Mus musculus: one gene and its partner. The protein of the gene in region 1 purifies or fractionates together with the protein of each later gene. This does not show direct contact. Links are inferred from orthologs where the notes say so. Each region holds a gene or a part of one and is shown in the gene's direction. Other genes may lie near its edges.

Region 1 (3,812 bases):
CTCTGTCGTCCATTCTCTCTTTTTCTCCCAAAACCTTCAGCTCCACCTTCCTCCTGTCAATCACCAGCTCTAGCCTTTATTTACAAATTAAGGTGGGATGCAGGTTTACAGGAGATCACCTGAATGTTGACTCGTTCCTTGTTCACATTCCCTCACAGGAGAATGGAATTAACATCAAATATAATTAGCCCCAGGGCTATCCGCAACACAAATATATGACAAGATATACTGTATATCTTTCTAGAAGGTAGCTTGATTGCATAGTTCCTTCTTAGATCAGCTTATCCTCCTAAATCACTTATTTTATTTTTCTGCTCCATGCCTTGGGCTTTCTCCCTATAGCCTGTGGCATAAAAGCCAGAACCCTACCTTCAAAATACCCAATGAAAGCGACTTAAGGAAGGAAGGGTTTATTTAGACTCACAGTTTAAGGGGAGACAGTCCTATCAACAAGTACGGCCTGGCAGCAGGATGGTTAGTCAGCTGGTCACATTGGATCCACAGTCGGAAAGCAGTGGTGAATGCTGGTGTTTGATACACTGTCTCCTTTTTATACAGTCTTCTTCAGTGCTTTTTGGGCATTGTTAGCTAAGTCTGTGTTTGTCTGCTAATAGAGTTCACAGAAAGAAGTACAGAGTCTCTTTTCTTCCTCTCCTCTCCTCTCCTCTCCTCTCCTCTCCTCTCCTCTCCTCTCCTCTCCTCTCCTCTCCTCTCCTCTCCTCTTCTCTTCTCTCCCCTCACCCCCCCCTCTTTCTCCCTTCCCACCTTGGTTTTGTGAAACAGTTTGGGATTCATCATGTAGACTGGGCTGGCCTCAAGCTCACAGAGATCCTCCTACTTTTGCCTTTAGAGTCCTTAGATTAAAAGCACACACCACCCCATCCAGCTTCCATTTCTTCTCTATAGAGCCTTGCTATTAAACATTTGTTAACGTAACTTTTTTAGGGGGTTTCTGAGTACAACCAAGTTCATTTCAGTTATCAACTTGGCCAGTGAACTTGTGACAATCAGAGGCTTCATCCTTTAGTCTCGTTGAAGAGTCCAGGCTCCTTCTGAGTTCTTGGCTAGTCCTTTCCCTTGTGGTCCTAGCCAAAAGGAGCCTTGCAGGTATTATGTACTCTTTATGGTTAGGGAATTTTAATTTGTTTTTCTCCAGAGAGGAGGTGGGCATATGGATTAGACCCCTGTATGATCTTAAAAGAGGAAGTGCTAACAAATTTGTATGTCTGGGTGAGTTTTTTTTTTAATTGAAAATCTTCAGAGTAAAATGGAGTCTTGTCTGTTTCTTTGGTCCTAGGTTCCTTGCCTTGACTCCTTGGAGAGTGTATCACCTCATTTCCGTCATGATTCTTGGGCGTGTTATCATGCAGATCATCAAGGAAATGGTTTTGTCCAGGACAAGAGGTAAGAATATGCGACTTGATTTTTGTGTATTTTATTTCAAGTGTCTAATTTTTGGGTGGATATATTCATCTTTTGAACATGAGGATCATGTAGAGACGCTTTTTTCTACTTTCTTTACTTCCTGTTTCCTCCATTCTCCACCCTACCCCCCTTCCCTCTGTCTGAGATATGGTCTTACTGTACCCAGGTTAGCCTAGAACTCCCAGTCATCCTCTTGTCTCAGCTTGCTGAGTGCTAGGATTATAGACATGAGTCACCATATTGTCTGGGTTTGCTTTTCTCTCTCTCTCTCTCTCTCTCTCTCTCTCTCTCTCTCACACACACACACACACAACTTTATTTTTTTCTTCAGTGCTGGGGGTTAAACCCAGGCCCCTTGCACATGTTAGCCAAACAGTGTACCACTGAGCTACATCCCAAGCTTAATAATGTATTTCTGATTCCCTCTCTTGTCAGAACAAGGGAAAGGTCCCGTGCTGGGCTCTCCCTTGGTTCTAAGCTACATACGTCACACATCAGGGTGATATTTAAGTAGGCCACTGTAAGAAGAGCAGTTAAATATTTACTCCACCCTACAAGCTCATACCGGGCCACTGGAAAATGTAGTAGTTTGAGTACAGTTTTCTTTTACCTCAGCGAAAGAATGCAATAAGCTTTAAAAAAAAATCACCGATAGTTACAGATTAATGGTGTTGGAAAGAGAACCAACTGTAAGCTCTAAAGTGGGAGCTGGACTCATTTTTAAAGAGTGCTTGACTTCCTAGGAGTATATACTATTTTCCTGAGTGCAACCTTTCTGTGAATCTCCATGCCTCCTCTACTAATACTTGAACCAACTTCTGTAAATGGGCAAAAATCCCTCCTGGACATAAGAGTCTACATGTAATAAGATCTATTTGGTCAAAATCATAAGGAGGAGGCTTTAATTAGTGTCTGTATGGACTGCTGTGTCTCAGGACTGCCCAGATTCACCATCATGGGGATGTACCATGAAAGTGGCAACATCTCTCAAACAAGAACTTGAGCCCTGGAGTTTCGCCATCGCGGTGTTCCGTGGGTTACCTTTCAAGCGGGTCATGTTTCAGTGTCCAGTCTTAACCCAACCACTATAGACGCAGTCTTTAGAAAGATTGTTTCACGTCAGTGTAGTCAGGTGTGGAGGTAACTCCTTCACGGCTAGCCTTTCTGGGAAGCTAAGCAAATTCATTTTTGTCTAGTTGAGGCATTTCAGGGATCCATGGATTTCAATTCGAGGCCAGCCTGGTCTACAAAGTGAGCTCCAGGACAGCCAGGGCTATACAGAGAAACCCTGTCTCGAAAAACAAAACCAAACAGAACAAAACAGAACAAAAAAACAAAAGAAAATTCTGTCCTCATATACACATTGCCTTCTTCCCCTTGAGCCTTTTTCTTCTTCTCACCCTTCCCCCTTTCTGAGAATAGATGCCCAGTTCCCTCACTTCCAGCAGCGTTTGCTGTTGTATCCCAGTGTACCTCGGCCTCCTGAGGCCAATACCTCACACCTCAGGATCTGAGGAGGGAAATGGGCTAGATCTTGGCAAGCCCTGCGTTCTTGTATTGACGCATAGCAGGATGCGGAGGGCTGTTGTCTTGGATATATTTTGCAACAAGTTATTCCCTCAGGAGAATGCAAGCAGGTTGCCATTTGTGGATGTGCTCTGAAGCCTTCTTTGAAGCACGCTGACCACCCTGGAGGTTGAGCACCTGAGTACTTTGCACTCACTGGGTGTTCACCCTGGCCGGACCTTAGGTGTGATTTCAATGAGTTACAAAAATCCGAGGAACCAGGAAAGGAGGGACTGAAGGACTTGGCTTCTGAGTGCGGGGGCCAGACTGAAAACGGGACTGTGCGGAAGTCCTTCAGCTTTGGCTGTCAGGGCCCACCAAGGCCTTCAGTTTTTATTTAAACCAGCCATTTGGTAGTCACACCGTGGAGATGAATGTCCTTGAAAACCCTCCTCACGGAAAAGCTGTCTCCTTCAAAACATTGAGGAGGGGAAAGCTGAAGTCTACCAGCCTAGAGTCTCTGCTTCTTAAATCAGATTGCCTAAGCAGGCCTGTAATCTCAGTGACTTGGAGGCCAAGGCGCGGGGATCAGAAGTTTGAGGCCTGCCTGGGCTCCGGAGGAAGTGCAAAACCACAAGGGGCTGCTGATCGAGATCCTGTCTGAAAATAGAAAGAGGATCTGGCTCTGTAGTGCAATGCTCACCAATGTGCACCGGCCTCAGGTCCCGGGCCTTAACGATGCAAAAGGAAAGAAAGGCAGGCTAACATGGAGAAAGTTAATGTCTGTGCCTAGTTGTGCAGAAGCGGCAGGATCGATGGTTCCCTGTGGCTGATGTAACGAATTAACCACACACTTGGCGGCTCAAAGTTCTCCACAGCTC
Region 2 (4,499 bases), on another chromosome or scaffold:
GAGTTGGAAATCAAACCCTGGTCCTCTAGTAGAGCAGTCAGTGTTCTTAACCACTGAACCATTCTCCAGCTCCCAATACATTTTGCATTCTAATGTAAACGACTAGCATTTTAAAAATCCTAAGAGCTGATTAACCAACATTTCATCTTTAAATTTTCATGTACTGCATACATTTTCAGTGGACTGAAGAACTGCCCTTCAACTAGCTGAGACTGTACATCTATAAAAAAAAAAAACAAAACAACAACAACAAAAAAACAAACCTGAAGGTTACTCAGAAAACAACACTATTACCATTTTCATCCCAGATCTGTCTCAACTGGTTGTAAAATTTCTTCTGAAAGACTTAATTGTATTTGGGTCAAGGGTAAAATGAGTAGCTGGGTATTAAACTATTTTTAATTTGAAAATAAAAACAACAATAAATAAATACAACAATATTATATACCAATTCATTTGTCTTCATATGTAAGAAAGATTACCAGGAGAAAACCAAGAAGTGGGCTATGTATTTCATGTTCTTGTTTTGCCAGTTAAATTCAGTTCACTTTATTTTGCCCATATTTTATAACCATATCACTAAGTCATGTACATAAAATCAGGCAACAGGGCTGCTTGCCTGGTACCACTTAGTAGTCATTTTATTTTCACAGCACAAAGCATCCTTGAACTTTATCTCCGATGTTCCCAAGATATAGGTCTGGAGTTACTGCCAGTAGAATCAGAAGGGTGACCCCGCATCCAAAGAGTCTTAAGATGGAAACCCGGTATGTCAGAGGGGCCTGGGCTGACTCTCTCTATACTATTGAGGGTCTTCCACCAGCATGCCAGTCAGAGCTTTTGGTGCCCAATAAGGCCTTTTCATCAGGACAACTACCCTACAGGTGATACCCACCCCAGAGCAAAGTATTGTTGGGGAAACATAGACACCTAAATGATTTGACCTCTGTATTTTCAAGAACTCAACAACCATGCTTCTGGGTGAACCTTATAAAATGAATGGATTCATCTCTCCTTGAACGTGAGTGAAGCCTGGTGTTCATCGCTGGCATCGCTTCTTCTAACCTTGATGACTTCATGTTCTTCACCCTTACACTTCTTCAAATCCATGAGTCATGCTCTGTTTATGTTGTCTCAGAACCAATTCTAGCACAGATCCAAACATAAGGACACCAGTCAGAAGGAGGAGTTGGGGCAGAGAAGGCAGGCCAGTCGTGGGTGCCAGGCAAAGGTCAAAATGCAAGCACAGGACATTTCAGCCCGGGCTACAAATCTCGTGACGCCTGGCACTTTTCCAACTCCAGACTCCTGATTCCATTGCTCTGGAAACAGCTGGATTTTCTTCCTCTGTGTTTGTTTTGGGCATCAAACAAGAAACTTGAAGGGGAGGGAAGACGACATTTGTTAGAGCATTCTTTGAATTAACAAATTACCTTTAATATCAATCCTCAAAAATAAAAACCCGACTACATGATTTTTGCGTTTCGATGGAGTGGTTTAGGAAAAGCTTGGGTGAAAAGAAGATACACAAATAAACAAAGCTTCTGTCCACCCGGATCCAGCAGGTCCTTAGCGCCGGGGGCGGAGCGGGGGTGGGGCGTCGTGATGTCACAGCACCGCCCTGGTGTTTTTGTGTTTCCAGCTCTTGGGAAAAGCCACCCTATTTCTTTACCTGGTGGTCCTTTACCTTCAGGCCGCGAGATCTCCAGGTCCTTCTCTGGACGTTTAGCCACGTAGTGCGGCGACTGGCGCGTGGGAGCTGACGCGGGTGGAGCGATTGTGATAAGGCTGACATTGACTGGGGGTGGCCAGACGCGAGACGCAGTCATCAGCGCGCGCAGCAGGCCCCGTCCGGGGAGCCCCTACATCCTGAGGTCCATCATGAAGTTCCAGTATAAGGAGGACCACCCCTTCGAGTATCGGAAAAAGGAAGGTGAAAAGATTAGGAAGAAATACCCGGACCGGGTGCCGGTGAGTGGGGGCGGGGAGGGAGAAGGCAAGCTTGAGGAGTTTGGGAGCTGGTTGCCCTGGAGCTACCGAGGTAGCCTGGCGATGGCGGGTGGCCCTGGCACAGGAGGGTCATCGGAATCAAGTATTCTTGACCGGCTTTGACAAGCTTGTATCCCCAGGGCCTGTAGCCACTTTTGGCATCTCGAAAGCGCAGCGTGCGCGTGGTGGGTGAGTCAGCAGGATTCAGCACCCATGGAGGTTGGGATGTGCGCGTGGCGAGGCCTGTGTGTGCGGGGGCGACTGGTTGGGGGCCGCAGATAGGATATGCTATAGAAAAACGCGTCCCAACCCTGTAGCAGCAGGTGAGATGAGCCTTGTGCCCATCCATGTCTGCTCAATTGGTTCTCCATGAAAACGAGTCTCCTTCCCATTTCCTTGAGCGTAGGAGGAAAAACTCGAGAAGCCCCTAGATTCTGACCTGCGTTTTTTTTTTTTTTTTTTTTTTAGAATTGGGGGTGGGGTGGGGTGAGGGGCTTCACCAGGCGGGCCCTCAAACAAGGTCATGCCTGCCTCCACCTCATTATTGTCTCCTGGGCCATGTGTGGAAAAAGAAGGTCCGTGCTCTGCACTGTGATAGGTGGGTGGGCTCTTGGATCTCAAGAACCAGTACTGAGAACCGTTTCCTCCATTAATTATACCCCGATTTAAGCAGCTAATACCTAGTTCATGCAGTGGGGAGAAAAATACTAAGGGAGTCTTCAGCATCCGGGTGTTTTCCACTTTACCCCCTCCCCCGCCCACTTGCCTTTTTTTTTTTCCTCCTCTTTTGAAGGCTGCGCAGCAGAATTGGAAGCAAAGGATGACATCGCTTTTAAATATGGTGGATAGAGGACCAGGGACTTTAAAAAATCGTTCTCTTTATTTGTACAGGCAATGATGTTATATTAGGTTGGCGTTCCTCTAACTTTGAAGGGTAAAAGAGCTGTGCTAACCTGATAATTTTTTTTTTTGATGCATAAGTAATAGGGGGGAGGGACTTCTTCCTTATTCTTTATCTCAGCCAGGGCTACCAGAAGAAACGGAGGTCCAGCAAGAGAAAGCCCTCAGCCCCATTTTCTACCCTCAGCCCCATTTTCTACCCTCAGCCCCATTTTCTATGAGGAAGAAGAGAGCTAACTATTCCACCATTCTCCAGAAATTACATATACATGGCTCTTCCAGAACGGCTGGGCACACTCCAGTCATGCCTTCCTACTACACAGTCCTTCACATGTTATTTCCTTGAGCTCAGGACTGTGGAGGATTGCTTTCAAAATTTCTCTCAGTTTGTCAGCCCCACTTAATATTTTAAAATTACACATGGACCACACAGCTGGCAGCACTCTGAATGCCTTGTCTGTGTACTCACCGACTCTCGTCACAGCATTAAAATCCCTGTGCTAGAGACATGCTCTGAAGCACAGGGCAGTGAAGTCACCACCCACAGGTTTGACATTGCTGACTGGTGGAGGAGAATTCCAGCCCTGGCTGTCATGCTTCAGGGCTTCCAGAGCCCTTGGGCTTCCAGAGTTTTGTTTTTGTTTTTGTTTTCCAGTTTGTAGTACAGTTAGATGAACGCCTTGTAAGGTTGAGCCCTAGAAGTAGGTTAACACCTGCTGCCATCTGGAGTTCAGGTGGTAGTTGGTGCCAGCCAGGAAACTTAAGTGAACACCTACCCCCATTATTCAGAACTTTAACAGAAATCCGAGCTGTGACCTGCAACTGTTTCCAAATTCAGCTAAAACCTCCGTCCTTCCTCAAGACAGAGCCCCCTCGCATTCAGTTGTGTACAGCACTCACCCACAATATTGCAGTTTCTCTGTATTCTCCTGTTTGTGACTTGATGCTGAATGTTTTACTTCAGTGATGATTTGTAAGCCAAGACACCTTCGCTTAGATCTCATGGATCCCTGGATTTCACACCCAGATGGTACCTCCCAATCTGAGAGGTTCTCAACCTCTCATCTGGTTGTGACATAGAACCCTGCTGAGATTTGTGTGGGGGTGGGAGTGGGGGCAACACTAAAATTGGAACCCTTTGCCTGGTGTCTTCTCCATGACTGGATTATAACAGGAGTTCTCCTGCCTTGGTCACAGGGCCGAATCTTCCTATGTTCAGGTATTTACAGGAAAGCCGCTAAGTTTCTAAGGCAGTCTGACTCACAACTTAAGCTTGGCCTCTTAAGAGGTGTGCGTGGGCCTTGGGAGAAGGGATCATGGGATCTTGAGATAACCGTGTGTTGGAGACCTGTAACAGCAGGAACTGTAGGACATACTATTTTTAAACATTTGTAAACATCCCTATGGTGTATGAGCCACTGCGACAGATGCAGAAAACAAGTCCCCTCTCCTTTTGGTTGGAGTTCCAGGACTCAAGAGTTCCTGTGGTGAATACCAGGGCTCCCTGTTTCCTGTGCTCTGTTTGTAACCTGCCTCTTTCCTTCCTCTTTTTTGGTCTATTTCTTTTCAAGTTCTTTTCTATTTCCCTTGAAGCTTTGGATTCACGTCTG

What was found.
Region 2: the proteins of Retreg1 (region 1) and Gabarapl1 purify together in Homo sapiens (affinity purification with western blotting; 3 studies listed by BioGRID and IntAct, with this or other methods). This does not show direct contact. The link is inferred for Mus musculus from reciprocal best matches to the Homo sapiens genes RETREG1 and GABARAPL1.

The regions. Positions count from the first base shown.
Region 1 is NC_000081.6:25,888,184-25,891,995, forward strand, and holds part of Retreg1 (reticulophagy regulator 1), read left to right. Parts: intron 1-1,297; coding exon 1,298-1,404; intron 1,405-3,812. UniProt on the Homo sapiens protein: Endoplasmic reticulum (ER)-anchored autophagy regulator which mediates ER delivery into lysosomes through sequestration into autophagosomes.
Region 2 is NC_000072.6:129,531,566-129,536,064, forward strand, and holds the start of Gabarapl1 (gamma-aminobutyric acid receptor-associated protein-like 1), read left to right. Parts: upstream 1-1,626; 5' UTR 1,627-1,881; coding exon 1,882-1,971; intron 1,972-4,499. UniProt on the Homo sapiens protein: Ubiquitin-like modifier that increases cell-surface expression of kappa-type opioid receptor through facilitating anterograde intracellular trafficking of the receptor. Involved in formation of autophagosomal vacuoles.